2 linked regions of the Anolis sagrei genome follow. The protein of the gene in region 1 binds, or shares a complex with, the protein of each later gene. Links are inferred from orthologs where the notes say so. Each region holds a gene or a part of one and is shown on either strand. Other genes may lie near its edges. The genes, in order: ROBO3 and NELL1.

Evidence for each region.
Region 2: the proteins of ROBO3 (region 1) and NELL1 are in contact, whole or in part, in a crystal structure (PDB 6POL), measured with the Homo sapiens proteins. The link is inferred for Anolis sagrei from reciprocal best matches to the Homo sapiens genes ROBO3 and NELL1. Residues at the interface, in NP_071765.2 of Homo sapiens: Ser553, Pro555, Val590, Glu592, Phe594, Pro596, Asn600, Thr601, Trp602, Thr604, Ile624, Leu626, Arg630, Gly633, Ala634, Trp635, Gly636, Leu637, Ser638, Glu639, Pro646, Val647, Arg648; in NP_006148.2 of Homo sapiens: Ala440, Lys441, Met442, His443, Tyr444, His446, Tyr458, Arg468, Val469, Asp470, Asp471, Phe472, Ser473, Asp478, Ile492, Cys493, Thr494, Asn495, Thr503, Cys504, Lys505, Pro506.

What each region holds. Positions count from the first base shown.
Region 1 is NC_090027.1:17,922,483-17,930,521, forward strand, and holds the start of ROBO3 (roundabout homolog 3), read right to left. Parts: upstream 3,043-8,039; 5' UTR 2,984-3,042; coding exon 2,818-2,983; intron 1-2,817. UniProt on the Homo sapiens protein: Receptor involved in axon guidance during development. Acts as a multifunctional regulator of pathfinding that simultaneously mediates NELL2 repulsion, inhibits SLIT repulsion, and facilitates Netrin-1/NTN1 attraction.
Region 2 is NC_090021.1:264,555,832-264,563,088, forward strand, and holds the start of NELL1 (protein kinase C-binding protein NELL1), read right to left. Parts: upstream 3,127-7,257; 5' UTR 2,741-3,126; coding exon 2,692-2,740; intron 1-2,691. UniProt on the Homo sapiens protein: Plays a role in the control of cell growth and differentiation. Promotes osteoblast cell differentiation and terminal mineralization.

The sequences.
Region 1 (8,039 bases):
CAATTTCAGTGTCCACCAAACCATTCCAGTATTTTCTGTTGTGCCAAGTTTGGTTCAATTCCATCGTTGGGGGAGTTCAGAATGCTCTTTGATTGTAGGTGAACTACAAATCCCAGCAACTACAACTCCCAAATAACAAAATCAATCCCCCCAACCCCACCAGTATTGAAATTTTGGCATATTGGGTATTTGTGCCAAATTTGGTCCAGTGAATGAATATACATCCTGCATATCAGATATTTACATTACAATTCATAACAGCAGCAAAAATTACAGTTATGAAGTAGCAAAGGAAATAATTTTAAGATTGGGGGTCACCACAACATGAGGAACTGTATTAAGGGGTTATGGCATTAGGAAGGTTGAGAAACATTGGTTTAGCTCACTGGTGAACTGGTTGAGACTGGAGGAGACATTAATGTAATATAATATATTGTATATACATAAAATATTGATAATATTATAATGTTACACAATATAATACTAATAATGATAATATGATATTATAATCATATATTTATATTACATGTAATATTACTATTTTTTTCGTGCCAGGAGCGACTTGAGAAACTGCAAGTTGCTTCTGGTGTGAGAGAATTGGCCATCTGCAAGGACGTTGCCCAAGAGACGGCCAGATGTTTTGATGTTTTACCATCCTTTGTGGGAGGCATCTTTCATGTCCCCGTATGAGAAGCTCATCCGCGCTCTCCCTGGATTCGAACCTGTGACCTGTCGGTCTTCAGTCCTGCCAGCACAGGGATTTAACCCATTACGCCACCCAATCGTATAATACAATATAGTAATATTTAATACTGATATTGTGCTATGCTAATAATATAGTATATTGTATGTACATCTAAGCTCATCAGTTGGAACCAAACTTCTGAAGGACAAAAAATTTATTGCACTACGTTGGAAAGAACACTGCCAAAGCCTCCTGAATCGCAGCTCCAATGTGGACGAAGAGGTTCTCTCACAAATCCCACAACAACAAACCAGGGATGAGCTTGCAGCACTGCCTAGTTTGGAAGAAGTCAGCAATGTTATCAGCCAACAAAAAAATAACAAAGCCAGCGGACCTGATGGGATCCCTGTTGAAATCTTTAAAGAGGGAGGACCTGAGCTAACACAACAACTCCACCAACTCATTGAAAAAGTGTGGGTGACTGAGTGTATATACTGAGAGTATATACAAGATATATATCTTGTAAGCTGTTCTGAGTCCCCTTCGGGGTGAGAAGGACGGCATATAAATGTCATAAATAAATACATTGAAAAACTAGAGCAAAATGTGCCTGCACAAACAAAGTTGTGGAAGTTGAACAAACTTTTCCCCATGTTCTTTATGACAGAAGCAATTCGGAAATGACACTGACAGCCCAGGAGTGACAATTGTGTTACAGCATAGTGTGATTTTCTATCAAAAGTGTTCCTGGAAAGCACAGAGTTGCAATTTGGCACACTTTTCAACTTTGGTCTTGTTCCCTGGAGAGGAGTCGGAAAGAGCAGAACTTCTCTCCAGGATGAGAAAAGGGCTTCTAATGGAAACAATCCCCCTTTGAGTGAGATCCAAAAGAACCTGGAATCCCCCAAAGCCCCCCATGTGAGCCCCAGAGGAACAGAAGTGACGCATCCCTCTGAACAGGAGGAAGAAATTCAGCTCTGAATGGGGCGCATCTCCCAATGCAGTTGAATACTACTTCCACTGCCCTGGCTCAATGCTGTGCGGATGCAGTTTGAAGAGAAAGACTTCTCTGATAAGCATCCCATAGCATTGAGCTCTTTGTCTTGAGACGCGAGTGGGTGCATTGAGATGCGAGTGGGACTGGAGAAGGGAAGGGAGAGAGAGGCGAATGGTCTCACTGCAAAAGTGTTCCTGGAAAGCACAGAGCTGCAATTTGGCACACTTTTCAACTTTAGTCTTGTTCCCTGGAGAGGAGTCGGAAAGAGCAGAACTTCTCTCCAGGATGAGAAAAGGGCTTCTAATGGAAACAACCCCCCTTTGAGTGAGATCCCAAAGAACCTCGAATCCCCCAAAGCCCCCCATTTGATCCCCAGAGGGACAGAAGTGACGCATCCCTCCAAACAGGAGAGAGAAACTCAGTTCTGAGTGGGGCGCATCTCCCAATGCAGTTGAATACTGCTTCCACTGTCCTGCCTCAATGCTGTGCGGATGCAGTTTGAAGAGAAGGACTTCTCTGATAAGCATCCCATAGCATTGAGTTCTTTGTCTTGAGATGCGAGTGGGTGCACTGAGATGCGAGTAGGATTGGAGAAGGGAAGGGAGAGAGAGGCAAATGGTCTCATTGCAAAAGTGTTCCTGGAAAGCACAGAATTGCAATTTGGCACACTTTTCAACTTTGGGCTTGTTTCCTGGAGAGGAGTCGGAAGGAGCAGAACTTCTCTCCAGGATGAGAAAAGGGCTTCTAATGGAAACAATCCCCCTTTGAGTGAAATCCCAAAGAACCTCGAATCCCCCAAAGCCCCCCATTTGATCCCCTGAGGGACAGAAGTGACGCATCCCTCCGAACAGGAGAGAGAAACTCAGCTCTGAATGGGACACATCTCGCAATGCAGTTGGGCACTGAATCATAGAATCAAAGACACTGTTTCCACTGTCTTGGCTCAATGCTGTGTGGATGCAGTTTGAAGAGAAGGACTTCTCTGATAAGCATCCCATAGCATTGAGCTCTTTGTCTTGAGATGCGAGTGGGTGCATTGAGATGCGAGTGGGACTGAAGAAGGGAAGGGGGAGAGAGGCGAAAGGTCTCATTGCAAAAGCCAAAGGAAGCTCCTGTTTCCCGTCCCCATGCTCACCGTTGGTGCTGGTCAGGTTGCCCAGGTCAAGGAGGCTAAGGCCGGCGTCCGAGGAGGAGTTGAGGCGGAGTAGGAGCTCCGAGGAGTTGCCCAAGGCGTCCCCGGCTGCTAGAGAGTCGGCGAAAAGGTTCATTTGCAGCAACGTCTGGAGCAGGTAGCGCAACATCCCGGCCGCCCCTCCGGCCCCACGACGCCGCCTGTGCCGGCATCCGAGGAGGAAGAGGAGGAGTGGGAGGAAGCAGAGTAGTAGAGCAGCAGAGCCGCAGCCACCCCCAGCAGTGCCCGCCGCCGGCCTCTGCAGCTTCCTCTGCACCTCCTGGCTCGCCCGCCTTCGCAGAGCTCTCTCTCCTCTCCCCTCCTTCTTCCCTTCCTTCCTTCTCTCCTTGGGACTGGTCTCCCTCCTCCCAGGCAGAAAGCAGGTGCCGCCACCAATAAATGTTTAATTATCGGATTAATAACTCTCCCTGGAGAGGTGGGGAGGGGGCGAGGGGGTGGGGAAGAGGCGCCCCTCCCTTCCCACCCCCTTCTCCCCCCTTACACAACACTCCCCTGCCCGCCTTTGCTCTCCAAAGTAAGGCAAGGATGGAGAAAGGAATGGGAAAGAAAGGGTCGCGTTTAGGAAACAGTCATGGAATCCTAGAATTGGAAGAGACCTCATGGGCCATCCAGCCCAACTCCATTCTGCAGGAAAATTGCTTTCAAAGCACCCCCAACAGATGGGCATCCAGCCTCTGCTTCAAAGCCTCCAAAGATGGAGCCATCACTACACTCCAGGGCATAGAGTTCCACTGCTTAACAGCTCTGCCCATCCAGCTTCTGCTTCAAAGCCTCCAAAGATGGAGCTTCCACTACACTCCAGGGCAGAGAGTTCCACTGCTGAACAGCTCTTCCCATCCAGCTTCTGCTTCAAAGCCTCCAAAGATGGAGCTTCCACTATACTCCAGGGCAGAGAGTTCCACTGCTGAACAGCTCTGCCCATCCAGCTTCTGCTTCAAAGCCTCCAAAGATGGAGCTTCCACTATACTCCAGGGCATAGAGTTCCACTGCTGAACAGCTCTTCCCATCCAGCTTCTGCTTCAAAGCCTCCAAAGATGGAAACTTCATTACACTCCACGGCAGAGTGTTCCACTGCTGAACAGCTCTGCCCATCCAGCTTCTGCTACAAAGCCTCCAAAGATGGAGCCTTCACTACACACCAGGGCAGAGAGTTCCACTGCTGAATAGCATGTACAGTCAGCAAGTTCTTAGAATCACAGAGTGGGCCATCCAGTCCAACCCCCTGCCAAAAGGCAGGAAAATCGAATTCAAAGCACCCCCATCCAGCCTCTGTTTAAAAGCCTCCATAGAAGGAGCCTCTACCACACTCTGGGGCAGAGAGTTCCACTGCTGAACAGCTATACAGTCAGTAAGTTCTTAGAATCATACAATCCTAGAGTTGGAAGAGACCTCATGGGCCATCCAGTCCAACCCCCTGCCAAGAAGCATTCAAAGCACCCCCGACAGATGGCCATCCAGCCTCTGCTTCAAAGCCTCCAAAGACGGAGCCTTCACTACACTCCAGGGCAGAGAGTTCCACTGCTGAATAGCATGTACAGTCAGTAAGTTCTTTGACTCATAGAGTTGGAAGAGACTTCATGGGCCATCCAGTCCAACCCCCTGCCAAGAAGCAGGAAAATCACATTCAAAGCACCCCCAACAGATGGGCATCCAGCCTCTGCTTCAAAGCCTCCAAAGATGGAGCCTTCACTACACTCCAGGGCAGAGTGTTCCACTGCTGAACAGCTGGTACAGCTGGTCAATAAGTTCTTAGAATCATAAGAGTTGGAAGAGACCTCGTGGGCTATCCAGTCCCAACTCCCTGCCAAGAAGCAGGAAAATCGCATTCAAAGCACCACCATCCAGCCTCTGTTTAAAAGCCTCCATAGAAGGAGCCCCTGCCACACTCCAGGGCAGGGAGTTCCACTGCTGAACAGCTGGTACGTTCAGTAAGTTCTTAGAATCATAGAATCATAGAGTTAGAAAAAGACCTCGTGGGCCATCCAGTCCAACCCCCTGCAAAGAAGCAGGAAAATTGATTTTTTTAAAAAAAAATCTCTTTTTTTAATTTCTATTTCTTGTGTATTCCACTCTTCGTTACTCACTTTTGATGTATATACTTACAAAATTCAATAAAAATTTAAATTAAAAAAAGATAATTGCATTCAAAGCACCCTCCACAGATGGCCATCCAGCCTCTGTTTCAAAGCCTCCAAAGATGAAGCCTGCACTACACTCCAGGGCAGAGAGTTCCACTGCCGAACAGCTGGTACAGTCAGGAAGTTTTTCCTCATGTTCAGGTGGAATCTCATTTCCTGTAGTCCAGAGGTCCTCAGCCTTCCTCTGGCCACGAGCAATTCAATCTAAATGGCCTTCAGTGTTAGGCAGAGTCATTGGTATCCAAAGAGTTTTGATGCGAGTGGGCTGGGAACTCTGCTCCAGGTTTTAGTCCAGCGTTTCTCAACCTGGGGGTCAGGACGCCCTGGGGGGTTGCAAGGGGGTGTCAGAAGGGTCGCCAAAGATTATCAGAAAACACTGTATTCTCTGTTGGTCATGGGGGCTCAGTGTGTGAAGTTTGACCCAGTTCTATCATTGGTGGGGTTCAGAATGCTCTTTGATTGTAGGTGAACTATAAATCCCAGCACCCACAACTTCCAAATGTCAAGGTCTATTTTCCCCAAAATCCATCAGTGTTCGCATTTGGTTATATTGAGTATTTGTGCCAAGTTTGATCTAGAACCATAATTGTTTGAGTCCACACTGTTCTCTGGATGTAGGTAAACTACAACTCCCAAACTCAAAGTTGATGCTCACCAAACCCTTCCAGTATTTTCTCTTTATCACGGGAGTTCTGTGTGCCAAGTTTGGTTCAGTTCCATCATTGGTGCAGTTCAGAATGCCCACAACTCCCAAATGTCAAGGTCTATTTTCCCCAAATTCCATCAGTGTTTACATTTGGTTATTTATTATTTACTTCATTTATATACCACTTTTCTCAGCCCTTGGGCAACTCTAGTTTGATCTAGATCCATAATTGTTTGAGTCCACAGTGCTCTCTGGATGTAGGTGAACTACAACTCCAAAACTCAAGCTTAATGCCTACCAAACCCTTTCAGTATTTTCTGTTGGTCATGGGAGTTCTGTGTGCCAGGTTTGATTGAATTCCACTGCTGGTGAAGTTCGGAATGCTCTTTGATTGTAGGTGAACTATAAATCCCAGGAACTACAACTCCCAAATGACAAAGTCAATCCTCCCCCAACCCCATCAGTATCCAAATTTGGGTGGATCTGGTACTTGTTCCAAATGTGGTCCAGTGAATGAAAATACATCCTGCATATCAGATATTTACATTCCAATTCATAACAGTAGTAGAATTACAGTTATGAAGTAGCAACGAAAATAATTTTATGGTTTGGGGGTCACCACAACATGAAGAAAGGGCATTAGGACGGTTGAGAAACACTGTTTTTGTACTTTCAAGGGGCTCTTGAAGGTGCCAGACTTTAAAGAAGGGAAATGTATTCAGCACTTTGGACAGTTCCTTCATTCTGAAAGGCAAAATAAGGTCCCCATTCCAGCCCTGTAGAAATAAAATGGGAAATGGACTTCTGCTTTGTCTACAGAAACCTCCTCAAGTTCAGTCTCTCACTCCTCCAGCTTCAAATGAGAATTTTAAAAAGATCCAGGAAAGTGCCTTCCCTGCCAGTCAGAGTGGCTTGAAGAACAAACAGTCTGGTTTGGAAGAAAGCAGGCTGCAGTGTTCTTGCTTCCCAGCTGCTTCCCTGGTTCTTGCTCTCAAGGAATGGCGCACGTGGCAACCGCGTGGCAGCCCTGTCCGTGTCCACCCAGCCGCACACCTCTGCTGCTATGCGCCAGAGTCAGCATTTCCATGTTTCATCGTAAATGTCATCACTGCTGTGGGATGGCTGAAGAGGGAGTCCTGTACAGCACAGCAGAAATGTGACAGGTTGCAAGAGATAGCGGCTTCCTTGCAATGCGGAATGATCAGCTAAGAAACTCACTTTTGGACTGCTTTAGAAGGAATATCAGTCTTTTGTAGTAGGGAGGGAAGGAAGGAAGTAATCTAGCAGCACTTTTAAGACCAGCTCCTTTATATTTTAACATAAGCTTCTTGTGCAGTGATGAAATGAAAGCAATGGGTTAATGAAGACATTTAAAGAGAAGTTGTACTATCCCTGTAATAGGCAGTGCTCTCACTGCCTATTACAGGGAAAACCAACTGATCCCTAATCCATCTAAAACACAGACATGTGCCTTTCACCTTAAGAACAGACAAGCATCCCGAGCTCTGAGGATTACCTAGGAAGGAATCTCACTGGAGCATTGCAGCGCTCCAAATACCTGGGAGTCACTTTGGACCGTGCTCTGACCTACAAGAAGCACTGCCTGAACATCAAGCAAAAAGTGGGCGCTAGAAACAACATCATACGAAAGCTGACTGGCACAACCTGGGGATCACAACCAGACACAGTGAAGACATCTGCCCTTGCACTTTGCTACTCTGCTGCTGAGTATGCATGCCTAGTGTGGAACACATCTCACCACACTAAAACAGTGGATGTGGCTCTTAATGAGACATGCCGCATTATCACGGGGTGTCTGCGCCCTACACCACTGGAGAAATTACACTGCTTAGCCGGTATTGCACTGACATCCGCCGGGAAGTAGCAGCCAATAGTGAAAGGACCAAGGCAGAGACATCTCCAGCTCATCCCCTGTTTGGGTATCAGCCAACACATCAACGACTTAAATCAAGACATAGTTTTCTTAGATCTACAGAGACACTCGCTGGAACACCCCAGCAAGCGAGAGTCCAAAAGTGGCAGGCCCAAACCCAGCATCTCAATCCATGGGGGATACTAGATGAGAGACTCCCCCCTGGGCACTCAGAAGTCTGGGCGACTTGGAAGGCGCTGAACAGACTGTGCTCTGGCACCACGAGATGCAGAGCCAACCTCAAGAAATGGGGCTACAGGGTGGAATCCTCGGCATGCGAGTGTGGAGAAGAACAAACCACTGACCACCTGCTGCAATGCACCCCGAGCCCCGCCACATGCACAATGGAGGACCTTCTTGTGGCAACACCAGAGGCACTCCAAGTGGCCAGATACTGGTCAAAGGACATTTAGCCAACTACCAAGTTTGCAAAATCTGTGTTTTTCTT
Region 2 (7,257 bases), on another chromosome or scaffold:
CATGGCAGGCTTCCTCAGAGGTTGTGAGATTTGTTGGAAGCTAGCAAAATGGGGTTTATATATCTGTGGATTGTCCAAAAAACTTCACAACCTCTGAGGATGCCTGCTATAGATGCAGGCAAAATGTCAGGAGAGAATGCTTCTGGAACATGGCCAGACAGCCTGGAAAACTTACAACAACCCAAAACTTCAAACTGTTCTATTACATATACAATTAAAAAAACTTTTAACAGCATTTTACAGCAATGTTCAGGACTGTTCCCAATTGCACACACAGCCCTAGAAAACTGTTTCTTTTGATGCAAGGACTGGGAAATGTTCCCATGATCTATTCATTTGTCCTGTCATTTTCAACATTGCAATCCAGTTGCCCTAAAAAGCAGTCTGCTCCAGTTAAGCCTCAATTAAAATGTGTCCTTATATTAGTTTCCTGGATTAACAGCTAAATCACAGAGAGAGGGTTTTCTCTGCATGCACCCAAAAAAAGCATTTCATAATATAATTAGTTTTTGCATTAGTGTGTGTTGTGTGTGTGCCTTCCAGTCACGTGTCAAATTATGATGACCCCATTAATTTCAGAGTGTTGTCCTAGGCAAAGAACACTTGGAGGTGGCTTTGCCAATTCTTCTGGCAAATCACTGTGAATGCCAGCACTTGGAAGGATGGCCCACTTCCATGTGAATGAAATGTGAAATATCAGCCCCTGCTTGTACTCCCCTTCTCTTTCTGCGGCAGAGATGTCTCTGAAGTGAAAGAATTTCTGTAAGCTGTTTCATTTGCTACTTCAAATCCTTTCCATCTTCTGTAAACAAACAAAAGATGCCCGGTAGGCTCCCTAAACTTTTTCTTACTGGTTTGGAGGGGTGGAAGGTAAGAGGGAAACAGGCTTCCTCGGTCATTAAAATAATACTAGGGAAGGCAGGGTTAGGGTCAATGCCCAGACCACTGAGAAGGCATCTAGCTACACAGAGAAAGAGGCTTCTCCCTCAAACCATGCAAAAAGCAAGAGCAACACTTGCTCCACCAAGCCTGCTTGTCAAATACAGAAGCGCTGACAGCTGATTCCTCGTGCAATTGATGGGGATTTGAAGGCAATATGAACGAGCAAGGTGCTTTGAATCTGGTGTCATGATCTCTTGGAGTGCCTTTCCCCGCCAAGCCCTACATTTTCCCCTTCGCCCCCCAGGAAAGGCGTGCTGTTTTAAGTCTCAAGCCAAGCGAGCTGCATGCCCTCGGCTGGGAAGACAATAAAAGAGTGCCACCCATGTGCAACGCTAAGAAACAGGCACTCCGCTCTGCTCTGCCGAAGAAGAGCATTCACCTGGCGCTTTGTATTTCATCATATATGTATAATTTTTTTACAAAATCCTTGTGATCCTCTCCAAGGGAATGATCTCCCCTCTGGCAGGTGGAAATCACCTTTCTTGGGCGGTTATTACAGGAGAGGAAGATCAATCCCTTCACCGGGGCTTGCCTCGTGCGGTGATGAGCAGCAAGGCTTCTTTAAGGGGAAGGAAGCCAGGTCTGGGTCGGATGGGAGGAGGAGGAGGAGGAGGAGGAGGAGGAGGAGGAGGGGGCAGGGGGGGGGGCGCACGGCGTGAATCTGGGAAGAAGGGGGGTTGCACAGCAAGGACTTGTCTTCCCTCCTAAGGGAGGCTGCCGGGGGGGTGGAGTGTCCTAAGAGAGCAGCAGCAGACGCCGCCACTGCCATTACAATGCAAAGTTTCCGAGTTCCGCCCTGCAAGACGCGGCACAAAAGAAAAAGGAGAGAGAGAGAGAGAGAGGAGAATGAGGGGGGAAGGAGAGAGAGAGGGCCCTTCTACACAGCCCTATATATCCCAAAATATCGAGGCAGGAAATCCCACATTATCCGAGTGTGGTTTCAGGGCCCCTTCCACACAGCTAAATAAAATCCCACATTTTCTGCTTTGAACTGGGATATATGACAGTGTGGACTCAGATAACCCAGTTCACAGCTGATACTGTGGGATTTTCTGCCTTGACAATCTGGGATATAGGGCTGTGCGGAAGGGCCCAAAGAGAGAAGAGGAGAGAGAGAGGAGGAAGAAAGAGAGAGAGACCTTCTTGATCCCAGATCCTTCCTCTTCCCATTGGGATCGTGTGGTGTTTTTTTAATCGCTTCTTACAGCAATCATTGACTATTTGTCTGGGTCAGGCAAGGCAAGGAAGCGATGGGAGAAAGATCCAAACGGGAAGAAGAAGAAAAGATAGATTATCTAATGGGAAGAAGAATAGATAGATAGATAGATAGATAGATAGATAGATGACACATAGAGGTAGAGAGAGAGAGAGCAAGATAAAGAGCTAGAGGAGCCAGAAATCCTCCCTTGCTCCTTTCTCCGCGCCTCTTCCAGGGCGACTGTCATTCCCTCGCACGCAAAGCCCCATTTCGGGGGTAACTCGCGGGCCAAAGGGGACCCGCTCTAAATAGAGAAAGAAGGAGCGGTGAAATCCGCCGCGAAAAGAGGAGGAGGGGGAAGGCATCCTCCTCCTCCTCCTCCTCCTCGCCCACCTATTGTCTCCTTCGCAAGAGGGTCCCTCGGCGCCCCTCTGCCTTCTCCCCCGCCCAAGTGCCCCCTTCGCCCCTGGGAGAGCCAGCCTTCTTCCTTCCCTTGGCCAGGCCGGGCGGGGATGCCCTTCTTCCCTCTCCTCCTCCTCCTGGGGGCTCACCTGTCCTCGCCGCCGCCAGGCAGAGGCAGACGCCGACGATGCCCTCCATCTGGGCGGTGGGTCGGTGGCGCGGCGCGATGCCCCGTCGAAGCCTGGCCCGGGCTCTCCTTGGAGCATCAGCGCCGTCCAACTTGAGCGGCTCCCCTGGAAGGAGAGGGAGGGCGAGGGAGAGGGGGAGGAGGAGGAGGGGGAGAGCCAGGCCCACGTGCTCCTCTCCTCTCGGCCCGGCGCGGCTCTCAGGCGGCCTCCTCCCGGGAAGAGCGGCTGGATGGGTGGAGGGGAGGGGAGGGGAGGGTCTCCTCCTCCTCCTCCAGCTCCGCTTTGTTCAGCTCCTGCCGCCGCCGCCCCTCCTCGCGCTCGAAGGACAGCGGCACCGTCAGCTCGCCCGCCTGCCTGCCTTTCTCTCTATGTGTAGGGAAAGGGGGGGGGGAGAGAAAGGGGCGCCCCCCCCCCTCTTGGAGCCTAATGGATCAGTCTAAAGCGCCGCCACTCCTTTCCCCCGAGCGGGAGGCAGGGGCATCTTTGGGAAATCGAGGGGGCGGTGGGAAAGGAGAGACAGAGCAAGAGAGATGAAGAACTGCTCAGGAAGGATGCTCCTATCCAGAGATCTGAGCAACTTGGAGGATGCTGCTTCTGCTGGCCCCCGTCTCCAACGAGACGGAAGCCGAGATTAAAGGAGAACTCGCCGCTTGATGTTCTTGAAGGATCCCAGAATTAATGTCCTTCCCCCCCCCCCCCACTCCCCGTGGGGTTTGTGGAATGAAGAGGACGCCTCCTCGTGCATCTGAACAAGCCCAAATGGCAACGCTCCAAAGCGTGGGGGTAAAACTGCCAGTCTTCGGGGCGCAACAGGGTTCTGGGGTCTTCTCCTCTGCCCTTGGGGAACCTGTGGCGACTAGACAGGCCCAACTTCCCCGGGGCTCAAAGGGGCAGCTTGGAGGGCTTCGAGGCATGGCCCTGCCCGAGACCCAAACAGGGTTTTGCTAAGCACGCAGTAGCAACCACTACCTTGTGGAACGTCAACAGTTGCTTGCACCCGCCCAGCTATTGACCCCATTAAAAAAATCACGCGTGTCCAGGCCCTGGTTGTGGCGAGATGCTGCTTCGGCTGTCCCTGCCGAAATCCCTGCTCCGCTCCTAAAGGCAGATGACCCTCCTTGCGACCCTCCTTCTGTGCCTCCTTTGCACTCATTCACAGGCCGAACAGGGACCTCTTAAGCACTCTTTCAATGACTCCAACATCTTGACCATATGCAGGTTGATTGGGAAGGGAGCCCCACTGGGAGGCATCCGAGGGGCTTCCCAATATGTGCCTGCACTCTGCTGGATATACCGAGTTTGCAGTGGACATACATTAAGACAAAATGAGGTTATCACCTCAAGAAATTGAGGTGTGCCAGCGACTATTTATTTGTTTGTTTATTTATTTATTGTGTCAAAACCAAATTGAGAGTACAGTTATTATTTTATTATTATCTATCTCTATAAAAAATGCTCTCTTCGTTTTAAGTGACATCATAACTCAAAATTCGCTGGACGAATTGCCACCAAAGTTGGCCACAAGACACCTACTAACCAAAGGAGTAACCATCACTCAAAAATGATTTTGTCATTTGGGAGTTGTAGTTGTTGGGATTTATAGTTAACCTACAATCAAAGAACATTCCGAACTCCACTAATGATTGAAGTGAACCAAACTTGGCACACAGGACTCCCATGACCAACAGAAAATACTAGAAGGGTTTGATTGGCATTGACCTTGAGTTTTGGAGTTGTAGTTCACCTACATCCAGAGAGCACTGTGGGCTCAGACAATGTAGGATCAAGACCAAACTTGGCACAAATACTCTATATGTCCAAATATGAAGACAGATGGAGTTTGGAGAAAATAGACCTTGACATTTGAGAGTTGTAGATACTGGGATTTATAGTTCACCTACAATCAAAGAGCATTCTGAACTCCAACAATAATAGAATTGGGCCAAACTTCCCACACAGAACTCTCATAACCAACAGAAAATACTGTGTTTTCTGGTGGTCTTTGGTGACCCTTCTGACACCCCCTCGTGACCCCAAGGGGTCCTGACCCCCAGGTTGAGAAATGCTTCCTTAAGGCCATCCAGTCCAACTCCCTTCACCAGGGCAAGAAAACATAATCCAGACCTCCTGACAAAGAGCCATCCAGCTATGTGTGTGAGAGAGATTCACACGCACACACACACACACATAGTATCATAGATTTGAATGGGACCCCTGAAAAAGGACAATTATATGTTGGCATGTTCCAGAGTAGGCAAACCAGACAATCACAACATCAACACTGACAAAGAAACAACAAGAAATACTACTTACCCACAATCATAAAGAAATTACCAATATTATAAACCAACACTTTCTCGTTACTTTATTTTCCAGATCTCCAGACTGAGCCACAGCAACGTGTGGCGGGGGACGCCTAGTCATGTATAAAAAAGCCACAAACAAAGTTAAAAACTTGGCATTATGCTAAATGTTCTTTGACCAGAAGCTGGCCACTTCAAGTGCCTCTGGTTTCACTGTGAGCAGGTCCTCCGTTGTGCATGTGGCAGGGCTCAGAGGTCTGTGGTTTGCTCTTCTCCAAACTCACATGTCATGGACTCCACTTTGAAGCCCCATTTCTTAAGATTCGCTCTGCACCTCGTGGTACCAGAGCACAGTCTATTCAGTGCCTTCCAAGTCACCCAGTCTTCTGGGTGCCCGGGGGGGGGGGGGAGTTTCTCATCCAGTATCAGCCACTGATTGAGGTTTCCAGGTTTTAGCATGCCACTTTTGGACTCTCACTTGCTGAGGTGTTCCTGCAAATATCTCTGTAGATCTTAGGAAGCTGTTTCTTGATTTAAGTCATTGGGATGCTGGCTGATATCAAAACAGAGGATGGATCAGTGATGTCATTGCCTTGGTCCTTTCATTGCTGGCTGCTACTACTTCATAGTAGACAGTAGGCTGCTACTACTTCACAGTGCAATACTGACAAAACAGTATAATTTCTCCAGTGGTGTTGGGCGTAGACATCCTGCGGTAATGCAGCATGTCTCATTAAGAGCCACATCCACTGGGCATGCATACTCAGCAATAGAGCAGCAACGCACAAGGGTAGATGTCTTCACTGTATCTGGTTGTGATCCCCAGGTTGTACCAGTCAGCTTTCGTATATTATTTCTAGCACCCACTTTTAGCTTGATATTCAAGCAGTGATTCTTATAAGTCAGAGCATGGTCCAGAGTAACTCCTAGCTATTTTGGGATGCTGCAATGCTTCAGTGGGAATCCTTCCCAGGTTATCCTCAGACCTCGAGATGCTTGTCTGTACTTAAGATGAAAAACACACGTCTGCACTTTAGATGGATTAGGAAGCGGCTGGTTTTCTCTGTAATAGGCAGTTAGAACACCTAAAGCTTCGGAGAGCTTCCGTTCAACCACGTCAAAGCTCCCTGCTTGAGCTGTGATGGCAAGATTGTCAGCATAGATGAAACTCTCTGTCCTTTCCGGCAATGGCTGTTTATTTGTCTAAATGTTGAACACTGATGGAGCAAGCATGCTCCCCCGAGGCAGGCTGTTCTTCTGTTTTCTCCTTCTGCTTCTTTGACTCTGGAACTCAACAAAAAAGTTCCTGTTTTGTAGCAGGCTTCCTATGAAGTGGGTGAAGTGGTAATCCTTTGTGATATTCTACATTTTTCTCAGGAGGAGGTGATGATTTACAGTGTCATAAGCTGCTGATGCGACTTGCAGTATGCAGCCTGGGATTATAAAGGGATATGAACCCTCTGCCAGCAAAGGAGCTATAATAAACCTTTTTATACATATGGTTCTATGGTTTGGTTTGAGTATTAGATTATGACTCTAGAGATGAGGGTTTGCCTTGAGTCCCTATTTCAGGAGAAAGTTGGGGTAAAAATAAAGTAAATAAAACCAAATAAATTATATCCTCCACTCAACCATGGAAACTTGCTGGGTGCCATTGTGTGAGTCCCATGCTCCCAGCCCAAGAAAAACACTGTGTTAGGATTGCCTTAGGGATGTCATAAGTCAGTAAACTTGAAGGCATCATCAACAAAGATACATAGAGATGGGATATGTTCCTAGGCACAGAAGTAAAATTCTATCAAAATCAATGGATGTTAATGCATTGGTAGGTACACTGAGTTCAAATACAGGTTGCACATTCCTTATCTTGAATTCCAAAATCAGAAATATTTCAAAATTCCATTTTGCCCATATGGATGGCTGAGATGGTGACACCTTGCTGATTGGAAGGTTGGTGGTTTGAATCCATGGGATGGAGTAAGCTCACACTGTTAGCCCCGGCTTCTGCCAACCTAGCAGTTCAAAATATGCAAATCAATAGGTACTGCTCCGGCGGGAAGGTAATGGCGCTCCATGCAGTCTTGCCGGCCACATGGTCTAGGACAGGGGTCCTCAAACTTTTTAAACAGAAGGCCAGGTCACAGACCCTCAAACTGTTGGAGAGCCGAATTATAATTTGAAAAAAAAATAACATGAATAATTCCCATGCACACTGCACAAATCT